Linked DNA regions of Bombyx mori. The protein of the gene in region 1 binds, or shares a complex with, the protein of each later gene. Links are inferred from orthologs where the notes say so. Each region holds a gene or a part of one and is shown on either strand. Other genes may lie near its edges.

Region 1 (3,657 bases):
ACACACAAATAAGTCTTATCTTTACTTTTGAAAATCAATCATGACTATCTTCCACAGGCGAAGCTGCACAAAAAACTCAACAGACTTTAACATTTTACGAATTAGATCTTGGTTTGAATCATGTTGTTAGAAAGTACTCTGAACCTTTAGAAGAGCATGCAAACTTTCTCATAACTGTGCCTGGAGGAAATGATGGTCCTTCTGGTGTCCTTATATGCTCTGAAAATTATCTCACATACAAAAATTTGGGTGATCAACATGATATTAGGTGTCCTATACCTCGCAGAAGAAATGATTTAGATGATCCAGAAAGAGGAATGATCTTTGTTTGTTCTGCCACGCATAAAACTAAGTCCATGTTTTTCTTTTTGGCACAAACTGAACAGGGTGATATTTTCAAAATAACTATAGAAACTGATGAAGATATGGTCACTGAAATAAAGCTGAAATACTTTGACACTGTACCAGTGGCAACATCAATGTGTGTTCTTAAAACTGGATTTTTGTTTGTGGCTTGTGAATTTGGCAACCAGTGAGTATACTTTTGTAAATATATTTGCGTTGCATAAGTGCTAGTGAGTATAAACTCATTTTGTACTCTTAAGAATTACTTCATGCTATAGAAATTTATCCTTGAACCAAGGTCCTCCCTTGTTATGGGGTGAGTGCACACTGATATAGGATGTACATACTAAGTTTATGATGTGTGCTGTACATCTATTTAGGAATGATAAATTACTAAAATACACATAAATTTCAGCTACTTATATCAGATAGCACATTTGGGTGATGAAGATGATGAACCAGAATTTAGCTCTGCTATGCCTCTAGAAGAGGGCGACACATTCTTTTTTGCACCAAGACCTTTGAGGAATTTAGTACTGGTAGATGAAATGGATTCTTTGTCACCAATATTAGGTAAGTAGTAGCAATTGAACGCATCACTGGTGCGCCTTATCTTACTGACCGTTCGGGCCACGAGGGTCACCCGTGAGCCGCGGGAGGCTTTCCTACAAGCCACTCATTGCAGCTATCAAACAAAACTCTTATTAAGCCGAACCCAAACGCTTTGGTTTTCAAATCAATAGAAATTTGCAGTTTAAAGTCCTATGTTCCGTGCAAATTATTGCATTATATAAATTTTATAATGAAAATCTCAAGTTGATAAAAGTTAGATTCTCTAATTTTGCCTTGGCTCAAATAGTATAGTAAGCTAGGCCCACCAGTGGGCCGCATGGCGTTCAATGTTTTAATGAGGAGTCCTCAAAATAAAAAATAGTATATATATATAATTGATTAATAAAAATTCCAGCTTGCCATGTGGCAGATTTAGCTGGGGAAGATACTCCGCAAGTTTACTTGGCATGTGGGAGAGGCCCACGATCCTCCCTTAGAGCACTAAGACATGGTCTTGAAGTTGCTGAAATGGCTGTATCAGAGCTTCCAGGATCACCGAATGCTGTTTGGACAGTTCGACGAAATAAAGATGGTGAGTATTAATTTACTCTGTTTCATTATTTCAGGGAGCTCTAAAATTAAATAATTAAACTGTCGAGATTGAAGTACAGGAGCATAATGATTATAATTTTGGTCCGTGTTACTGATAAACTGTGACGCCACTCTACTACTACCACTTATGAATGCTCCCTTTTATCAACAAGTTACTAATAAAACCCTGGTTGTTTGTCAAACATAAACACCAGTGGTTTTTCTTTTCAGAATCTACTAACGGCAGGTGAACAGACATGGTTCAGCATGACGAACAGGTAGGCAGAGCAAGTTATCTACACTGAAGATCAACATCGCCATCAACAAAATTTTCTTAGTTACTTATTGAACATAATAATAGCTTTCAATTTTCTTTGGTTACAGAGGAATACGATTCTTACATCATTGTGTCATTCGTTAATGCCACACTTGTTCTTTCCATCGGTGAGACTGTTGAAGAAGTCACTGACTCAGGATTTTTGGGAACTACACCTACACTTAGTTGTCATGCAATGGGTAATGACGCTCTAGTACAAGTATATCCTGATGGTATAAGACATATTCGTGCTGACAAACGTGTAAATGAATGGAAGGCTCCTGGAAAAAAATCTATAGTCAGATGTGCAGTCAATCAAAGACAAGTCGTCATTGCCCTAACTGGAGGGGAGTTGGTATATTTCGAAATGGACCCTGTAAGTAAATACAAAACATCGAAAAACCCTTTTTCGACGTATTTGCGTGGCGTTGCCTTCGGGTGAAGCCGCGTGAGAGTGATGCGTAGCTGTCTTTCATACAGTGATGAGCACACAACGTCGTAAAACATGTTACCTTCCCCTTGTGGTAGAGGGTGGCGCTCGGCATATTCCATAGCCAAGCTGGAGTCATTTTGACTATGAACGCGGCAAAACCATGCTGTGGACATTCTTAAAAGTACTAATCTTAAATGTTTGTTAGTAAAACACATATTTCAAATAAAATTTGTTTTTCAGACTGGACAGCTCAATGAATACACAGAAAGAAAGAAATTATCTTCAGATGTTTGTTGTATGGCATTAGGTTCAGTTGCAGCAGGGGAACAGAGAGCATGGTTTTTAGCAGTTGGTCTCAATGATAACACTGTCAGAATTATCTCTTTGGACCCAGCAGTAAGTATTTCTGGTGACCATAATAACCACATACAATAGCAATAATTGGAATGATGACACCAGGACACCACTGATTTTTGTGATTACAACATCCCAAAAAAGCGTTATTCTCAAATTACTGAATGTTTAAAAAATTATACAGTTAACTCTTAAGCATAAAAAATTCAAAAAATATAGATTTTTTTTTCTTTCAGGACTGTCTTTCACCACGTTCTATGCAAGCTCTTCCTGCTGGTGCAGAATCATTATGCATTATTGAGCAACCATTTGAATCTGGTGCAAAATCTGCCCTGCATTTAAACATTGGCTTAAGCAACGGGGTGCTGTTAAGAACTACCTTAGATTCTGTAAGCGGTGATCTTGCAGACACTAGAACTAGGTAATTAATTAATCAAATCACTATTACTAACTTCTTTTATTGTAAAAGCCAATGATGTTAACAATTGTAATCGCTCCGTGTTTCATCTGAAAATTTTGATGAGTAATTAACCAGATCTGAGAGCCCTTACTACTATGAAAACATAATTTTGAAAATGATCATATTTTAAGTTGGTTTTTTTTTTTGCAGATACTTGGGGTCAAGACCTGTGAAGTTATTTAAAGTAAGGGTACAAGCTGCTGAAGCAGTACTAGCTGTGTCGTCTAGAACATGGCTAGGATATCACTATCAAAATCGTTTTCACCTTACACCTCTATCTTATGAATGTTTGGAATATGCAGCAGGATTTAGTTCAGGTAAGAAATAAAAATTACTGTTTAAAATATCGACGTGTTTGCCTGGCCTTACCTTTGCAGGTGAAGCCAAGCAAGAGTGGTGTGTAGCTGTCTCATACAGTGATGAGCCCACAACGTCGTAGAGCATGTCGCCTTCCCCTTGTGGTAGAGGGTGGCACTCGGCATATTCCATAGCCAAGCTGGAGTCACTTCGACTGTGAAGGCGGCAAAACCATGCCGTGGACATATAAATATTAAATAAGTAAATATTATATTTTAATAAATAAAATTTAAATTAAAAACAAACTGC
Region 2 (3,757 bases), on another chromosome or scaffold:
CATGTTATAACCGAATATGTCAAAAAATTGCCAGCGTGATTTAAACATCGACATCGTCACATTGGTTGATACAAGTACACCAGACATCGTATCTTTTTCGTCTTCCTGACGACTTCAATTTTTTCAAATAAAATAACTCTATTAACTTACTTGTTGCACTTCTTGCATGTACGCATCCAAAGGATCAATTTCATCTTCTTCTTCTTTCTTTTCTCCTATATTGTTTTTTTCTTTTCCTTCCGCATCTTCACCTGGCAAAGCTGTTAGATTATTTTAACATATGATGTGTTTCTTTTTACACAAAATATTGAGTAGAGGTATTCAGAAAAATCACTTTCTTCACACATTAATGCAAGATTATGAAAAAAAAAACGTTTAATTTTTAGCCAATAAGTTTTCCATGTGTGTGTGAATCTTAAATTTTGGTAAATGATGAATAGATTAGGTTTTGTTTTACTGACCTTCATCACCAGAGTCATCTTCAAGTGACCATTTCTTTGATGTCGGTATTTGTATATTAGTAACAATGCTTCCTTTTTGAACTTCTTTTTTAGCGGATTCGATTTCTTTACGTTTACGTTCAGCCCTCCATCTCTCTATGCGTTCACGACGTTTTTGCATTTCAGCTTCCAAGCGGTTTTGCTCTTCTTCCTACATAAATAATCAAATAAAATGAATAGTAAGTTTTGGCTTCTGCTGCTTATTACACCAGGCAATGAATTGCCATATGATATTAAGCTCTTGTGAAAGAACTACCTAAAGCCTCTAACACCACACCTCAGATGCTTGCCTGTCTCAACAAGGATACTAATCGTAGTATGTGTTAGTGGCTAAGTTTTATTGGGCCATCTAAGATCAAATGAGAATTATCACTTTACGACATTAGCAGCACTCCATTGACAAAGAGATTTCATTGCATGTATGTTTGTAGTTATTATGTATTTTTGATACGTAAATTCTAAATATTCAGTTAAAAGTTGAATGTTGATATAATATAATGCCAAACTGCTTCTGCATCATCTCAAACTCTTACCTAATCAGACTCTTTATAACATTTGCTAATTCATACAGTACAATACAGTACAAACATACAATTTACAGATATTTTATATTTTCTTATTTACGCTGTACCTATCTGTTGTATATGATTTCGATTTTTTGGGTCTCATTTATTTAGCAACAATGCATGACTCTCCTTATTACATAATACAATATACATTTATAAATATGTAGCCTTAAATTGTACATAAGCAAATGCAAAGTAGATGATGTGAAAGCATAAAAAAAAATCAAGTTTTTTACTTTAACTGTGAAGTTATGTATTAAAACCAATACATTGACAAATTTGCAGCTTTTATAGCCCAATAAATATTTCTTCACTAATCACTTCCAACACTATTATACCAGATTGCCACCTATGTTTCTCTGTTATTCAAAGCCCACTGGGTATCAGTCAAATTAAGTTTTTATCCAGATTGTATCTTAGAACTCAACAATTTTAATAAACATTTCAGCAGTTGTTTCAACTGTGTTATTGTGAAAATAAGCAACAACTTAACAAACAAACCTTGTCAACAGAGCCCGGGTTATATTCAGAAGAATCAGCTTTGCTACTCTTTTCCTTTGATTTTGATCTCTCCCTTTCCTTCTCCGGTGACTTCTTTCTCGATGATTTACTAGATCCATTTCTTTTATCATCTCTTTTATCACTGAATGAACTTAGATAAATTAGCAACACGCCTCAATTTAGCTTTAATAAAACATTTTAACAAAATGTATTATTTGAATAAATATAATTTTATAAACTGTACTAACGCTAACAAAAGAGTCTTGTGACTTAAATTAAAATATTTAACTTTTTATTTTGAGGTTATTAATTACTCAAAGTTTACCTTTTTCTGTCCCGATCTCGCTCACGACTACGATCTCTTTCCCTACTGCGATCCCGTTCTCGGCTTCGGTCTCGTTTAGAGTCACGATCTCTGCTACGACTGCGCTTCCTCTTTGAAGATTTCGAGCCCCGATCACGACTTCTTGATCTTGACCTCCTTCGTTTACGATCCGGTGTGTCAGAACGACTTCGAGATCTACGTCGATCCCTTTCCCTATCACGGTCTCTCCTAAAAGAAACAAAATTGTATTGTGAAAACTTTCGAACGCTAGCACATATTGAATAAGCTTCAAGAACGTTTACAGGTTAATGATTCAAGTAGTTCGTTTACAAACATCGACACTCACCCACTCCTAACCATTTTTTAAAGCAAATATAAAGAGATTTTTACACGTTTTATTTTTCTCATGCCTAAATCAACGGTGCCTTACTTAATACTAATAAAAGATTCTTGAAACAAAATGAGCTGTGAAATTTGGTTCGATTGCTATGAGATAAAAGTACGCATAACAAAATCACAAAGCGCTCGCTTGCATCCACGGATTCTACATTTGACAGTTGACTTTTTAATTTATTTATTTTTAGGGATTTTATGACCTGGTAACCAAGACCTTTAAGTCGTGTCTTCTTTTAATTTATATTTTTATTTTTATAAAAAATGATAATATAGAGTGGAATGAAATAAAGACAATTAATATGAGACTTTAATCAGCTGGGATGAAATTTAAATGAAAGAAGATGAGATGCTAAGGGATAAAATATAATTTCAGTAAAATGATGGTAATTTGCTGAGTTTTTTTCAGTGGACCTTCTGGAAGATCCCGAGATGTTATGTCCAGCGACTTCATTTCATTTACCCACATTTGTGCACTTTCACAGACATTAAACAGTTAATAAACCACCGTTATTATACATTTAAACCTGAAGAAACACTAAATAGACAAAATAAAACAAATCACACAACTTCACTCCTCGCGTTCCCGCCAAAAAAAACCTTGACTTTTTAATAGGTTGATAAAGATTGCTAGATTGAGTTTCTAAATTTACCTGGATTAAAATTTTCATATCTTCAAAATATAACATTTTGCAACCAAGCAAATCGAATGACAAAAATCGGTTTATTAAGAAAATTAACTCATATAATTTTTTTAACCAATACTGTCTAAGCCTATTCGTTGCAAATTTTACAATCGAGCTGAATTGACTTTCCGATGGGATGAAAACCTAACAGTAGTATCTCTTGGCCCACCACACGCTAATCTAACCATCTACTTTGATAAATGTGGCGAAAGTCTCAAAATACTGCTACACAGATATACCTACTCTTCAAACCTCGAACGTTTCGCGACAGAATTATCTGAGCTTTACGCATCTTACAAATTCTGCTAAACGTCGATTCCGTATTTAAAAAAAATGTGGTTCGGATATTACGTCCCACTCTATATCTAATGATCCAACAGCTTACTACTCGACTCATACCATCAGCCTTTAGCGGTTGATATCGACTTTAAGCTATGCAGATATTGGCTTGCGAGTAACGTGAATATCACTGTTCATCTTAAATTTAATTTCCACAAAGGTGGTTCAAGTTCAAGATTTAAGCAGCAGTAAAATTAAAAAACGTAAAAAGTCGATAATTGAAACCTTTAAAAAAATCATCGACTATTTGAAAATAGAGAGAGTTTAGTACCGAGACAACACTATTCATGGATGTTTTGTGTACAAATCGAAACACGAAAACCAAAAGATAACCTAATACATTCAACCGACATCATTGAAAATACAATTTAAAAATAGCGACTACTTTAACAAGACATAAAACAAGCTATTTTCATAACAATATCTAGAAATGGCAGACGATACTGA
Region 3 (3,553 bases), on another chromosome or scaffold:
GATATTAAAATCAATAAAATTATATTACAGTATTTACTTAGTATTACAAACACAGTTTAATGTAAAAACTTACCAAATCCTTAAATGTTATTTTATCATCTTCAGTATCTTCGTTGACATTTTCGGTTGGAGTTTGTTCCACCTCACTATCCTGGTTGGTTTCGTCTCCATAGCTTTCCTTGTCTGCAGTCATTTTCTCTAAATTATCATTGTTTTGGGGAATACAAAAAAGACGCGAATATTGAAAGCATGTGTTTGAATTAGGGGTATGCTGATTTCTGATTTCTGATTTCTGAATCTATCACATATAATATGTGACGTATGTGTCACCAAAGAAGTAAAACTGTCAAAAGTATACTTGACAATTAAGACCGATCGCAAACCGGCAATTAGACTTTTTGGTGGGAACGCGAGGAGTGAAGTTGTGTGATTTGTTTTATTTTGTCTATTTAGTGTTTCTTCAGGTTTAAATGTGTAATAACGGTGGTTTATTAACTGTTTAATATCTGTGACAGTGCACAAATGTGGGAAAATGAAACAAAGCCACTGGACGTAACTTCTCGGGATCCTCCAAAAAGTCCACTGAAAAAATCTCAGTAAATGACCACCATTTTACTGAGATTATATTTCATCCCATATCATCTCATCTCATTTCATTTAATTTCATCCCAGTTGATTGTTGTCTCAAATTAATCATCTTCATTTCATTTCATATTATCGTTTTCCATAAAAATACCCCATATTATATCATCTCATCTCATTTCATTTTATGCCATGTTTCATAAATTAATACACTTCATTTCATAGTATCATATTTCATAAAATAAAAAAAAATATATAAAAGGTTAGGCTGTATGCTATGATACCTTTGCCTTTCCATTTGGAAAAATGAAACTACTACTACTACTTATCTATGGTGCCAAATTATAGGACATGGCTTCGGCCTTAATGAAATTTTTATTTCAGGATATGAGTCGTCTATTATCAAAGGTGGCAATCTGTGCATTTGGACAAAAAAAAATTATTGATATGTCAATACAGATTGTTTTGAATATAATCGTCTCCTTCAAAGAATACGGTTCAAAACCTGCATTAAATAAAGGTTAATAGTTAACCTGTTATTTATCTAAGATGTCGTTCCGAAGAGTTTTGTGACTGCCAATGGAATACAAAGTCAATAATTCGTTTTTTCTGATTTACCAATCATTGTCCAAAAGTCAGATTGCCGGCTTTGATAATAGTCGACTCATATAATTTAAATCCTATAAGACCTGGCTTTGGCTTTATTATAAATTTATATCAGAAATTATATAGAACAAATGAGGCGGTATGGGCTTAGATCCCTTTGCCTTTCCTAATAAGGAAAAATTGTAACAAAAAAATATATCTATGGTGCCACTTGTCAAAATTACCGGGTCAAAATCGTCAAAATCTTTGTAGGTTATTCGATAAAAAAACAGTAAACGGCAAGTTTGATAATAACAATCAAAGAACATTCGCCAGCAGACCAGACCTAACTAAAAACATGGCAAAGCATCATCCAGATTTAATTTTCTGCAGGAAACAGCCCGGAGTCGGTTAGTAGTATTAAAAAATGGAAGACAACCAAGTTTAGTGTCGCTTGTTTTAATGCTATTTCTTATTTTTCCAGCTATTGGACGTTTATGTGAGAAATGTGACGGAAAATGTGTGATTTGCGATTCTTATGTGCGTCCGTGCACGTTGGTTCGTATTTGTGACGAGTGCAACTATGGCTCGTATCAGGGGCGATGTGTGATTTGCGGCGGGCCTGGAGTATCTGATGCTTATTATTGTAAGGAGTGCACGATACAGGAGAAGGATGTAAGTTTTAATTTTGTAATTTTTGAACTCAAATAATCGCATCGAAATCATTAATTTAAATTTCCTCAAATCAAAAAACATCGTTATATTTTGATAGTTTAAAAACTCACAAGAAACTAGTCAACCTGACTTGATCAAGTGACCTGATAATGATTGTGTGCGTCCCCAATATCATGTACATTAAGCCAAGCCTAATAAAATGTATAGCCAAAAGGATTGTGGCATTGAAGTGGCATTGGGCAGGACACATTGCTCGTAGAACAGATGGCCATTGGGGCCAGAAAGTTCTTGAGTGGCGACCGCGTATCGGAAGACGTAGCGTGGGTAGGCCTCCCACAAGATGGACCGATGGACGATGGCAGTGGACGTCTGTGCGCTGATAACAATAATAATAATAATAATAATACATATTATTATGCTAATAAAATTGTTATTTTTCACAGAGAGATGGCTGTCCAAAGATTGTCAATTTGGGAAGCTCTAAAACAGATCTGTTCTACGAGAGAAAGAAATATGGGTTTAGGAGACACTAGCATTAGGTTTCTTTTTAGTTTTTAAATATTAATTTCTGCAAAGTTTCTGTTATTTAAAATAATAAAAACAGAGGTTTTTCTCAACTAAAGTTTGATTGAAATACAAGTTTGTTTTTATCAACTACTTTGTTGTTGACTTTTTAAAGCCAACGGCTATTATGATCAAGTATGGTTTTCAATGTCTAAAGAGTTGCAGCTCGGGTCCAAGAGAAATTCACATATATTTTTTTAAATTCATTCATTTATACAATTGGATTGTTGTTATCGATGATATCTGTTATTTTTTTACAATTTTTTTTATCCTTTGTTTATTCAATGCAGATTAGTTTTCATTTTCCAACTAGAAAGAAAATACTTGAAAAATACATTTAGTTTTTGCATTTAAATTATTAAGATTCATTTTTATTTTTTATTTTTCTACTAAATTGTCAATAAAGATATTTTTGACTACCATGTGCTCTGTAAAACTACAGACAATATGTTAGCAATATTCATGTATGTAATGAGAGTGATTGTACTGTGTGAATGTTGTCTGTCATATTTTGAAAACTATGTTTCTAGTGTGTACTTACATTAAGACATTATGTAATTATTAATAAATGCATTGGTATTACACATTTAATGGCCCTACACTACCATTTTCTCCTTCGTCATGGGTCTGGGAAACAACCAAACATAACTAAGTAATTTCTAATCAAATATCTTTTGACTATCCGGGAATTACACATACCTGGACTATATTATATCTTTATATATATATATTTCTTATGTGCGTGTGTGTGTCACTGAACTCCTCCTTAACGGCTGTGCTGATTTGAATGATTGTGTTTGTATGCATTTGGGTGGCACCCTGGATGGTTTAGATTCACAAATCAACCCAGCAGAGGGCGCTGCAGTCGGTATCTAGGTTATTTATCTTTCCTAGAAATAATTTATATGGTAAAACAACATTTGCCAGCTAGTAGTATTATATAGTACTAGTCAGTAACACTATATAATTACACAATGAATTAGGTGGTCAAGCAAATATTTTAAAGTTATGGTATTGAATGAGAAAACTATTATATCGAGGGGTGAAGGGGGCTATTTGGTTTAAGCGACATTTTTGCAACTACAGGAGAGCCATTTAAACTAAAGTAACATTTGGAAAAAATATAATAACAAAAAACTTCTTCAAC

The links.
Region 2: splicing factor 3B subunit 3 (region 1) and probable ATP-dependent RNA helicase DDX46 share a complex: the UniProt entries of both Homo sapiens proteins name them as parts of the 17S U2 SnRNP complex. The link is inferred for Bombyx mori from reciprocal best matches to the Homo sapiens genes SF3B3 and DDX46.
Region 3: the proteins of splicing factor 3B subunit 3 (region 1) and Phf5a are in contact, whole or in part, in a crystal structure (PDB 7B91), measured with the Homo sapiens proteins. The link is inferred for Bombyx mori from reciprocal best matches to the Homo sapiens genes SF3B3 and PHF5A. Residues at the interface, in NP_036558.3 of Homo sapiens: Gly85, Arg86, Gln104, Glu105, Thr106, Phe107, Gly108, Lys109, Ser110, Leu140, Ile154, Ser155, Ser156, Pro157, Glu159, Ser1162; in NP_116147.1 of Homo sapiens: Gln14, Ala15, Gly16, Val17, Arg44, Asp47, Glu79, Asp81, Arg82, Asp83.

The regions. Positions count from the first base shown.
Region 1 is NC_085117.1:14,811,721-14,815,377, reverse strand, and holds part of splicing factor 3B subunit 3, read left to right. Parts: intron 1-57; coding exon 58-532; intron 533-760; coding exon 761-918; intron 919-1,312; coding exon 1,313-1,489; intron 1,490-1,719; coding exon of another isoform or gene 1,720-1,739; exon of another isoform or gene 1,740-1,766; intron 1,767-1,872; coding exon 1,873-2,180; intron 2,181-2,477; coding exon 2,478-2,633; intron 2,634-2,827; coding exon 2,828-3,012; intron 3,013-3,201; coding exon 3,202-3,368; intron 3,369-3,657. UniProt on the Homo sapiens protein: Component of the 17S U2 SnRNP complex of the spliceosome, a large ribonucleoprotein complex that removes introns from transcribed pre-mRNAs.
Region 2 is NC_085109.1:10,027,779-10,031,535, reverse strand, and holds the start of probable ATP-dependent RNA helicase DDX46, read right to left. Parts: upstream 2,465-3,757; 5' UTR 2,253-2,464; coding exon 2,239-2,252; intron 2,121-2,238; coding exon 1,893-2,120; intron 1,710-1,892; coding exon 1,568-1,709; intron 652-1,567; coding exon 462-651; intron 261-461; coding exon 151-260; intron 1-150. UniProt on the Homo sapiens protein: Component of the 17S U2 SnRNP complex of the spliceosome, a large ribonucleoprotein complex that removes introns from transcribed pre-mRNAs.
Region 3 is NC_085114.1:14,383,778-14,387,330, reverse strand, and holds Phf5a (PHD-finger 5A), read left to right. Parts: upstream 1-1,470; 5' UTR 1,471-1,525; coding exon 1,526-1,577; intron 1,578-1,651; coding exon 1,652-1,842; intron 1,843-2,285; coding exon 2,286-2,375; 3' UTR 2,376-2,992; downstream 2,993-3,553. Other genes in the region: ATP-dependent RNA helicase DDX47, read right to left, coding at 74-193.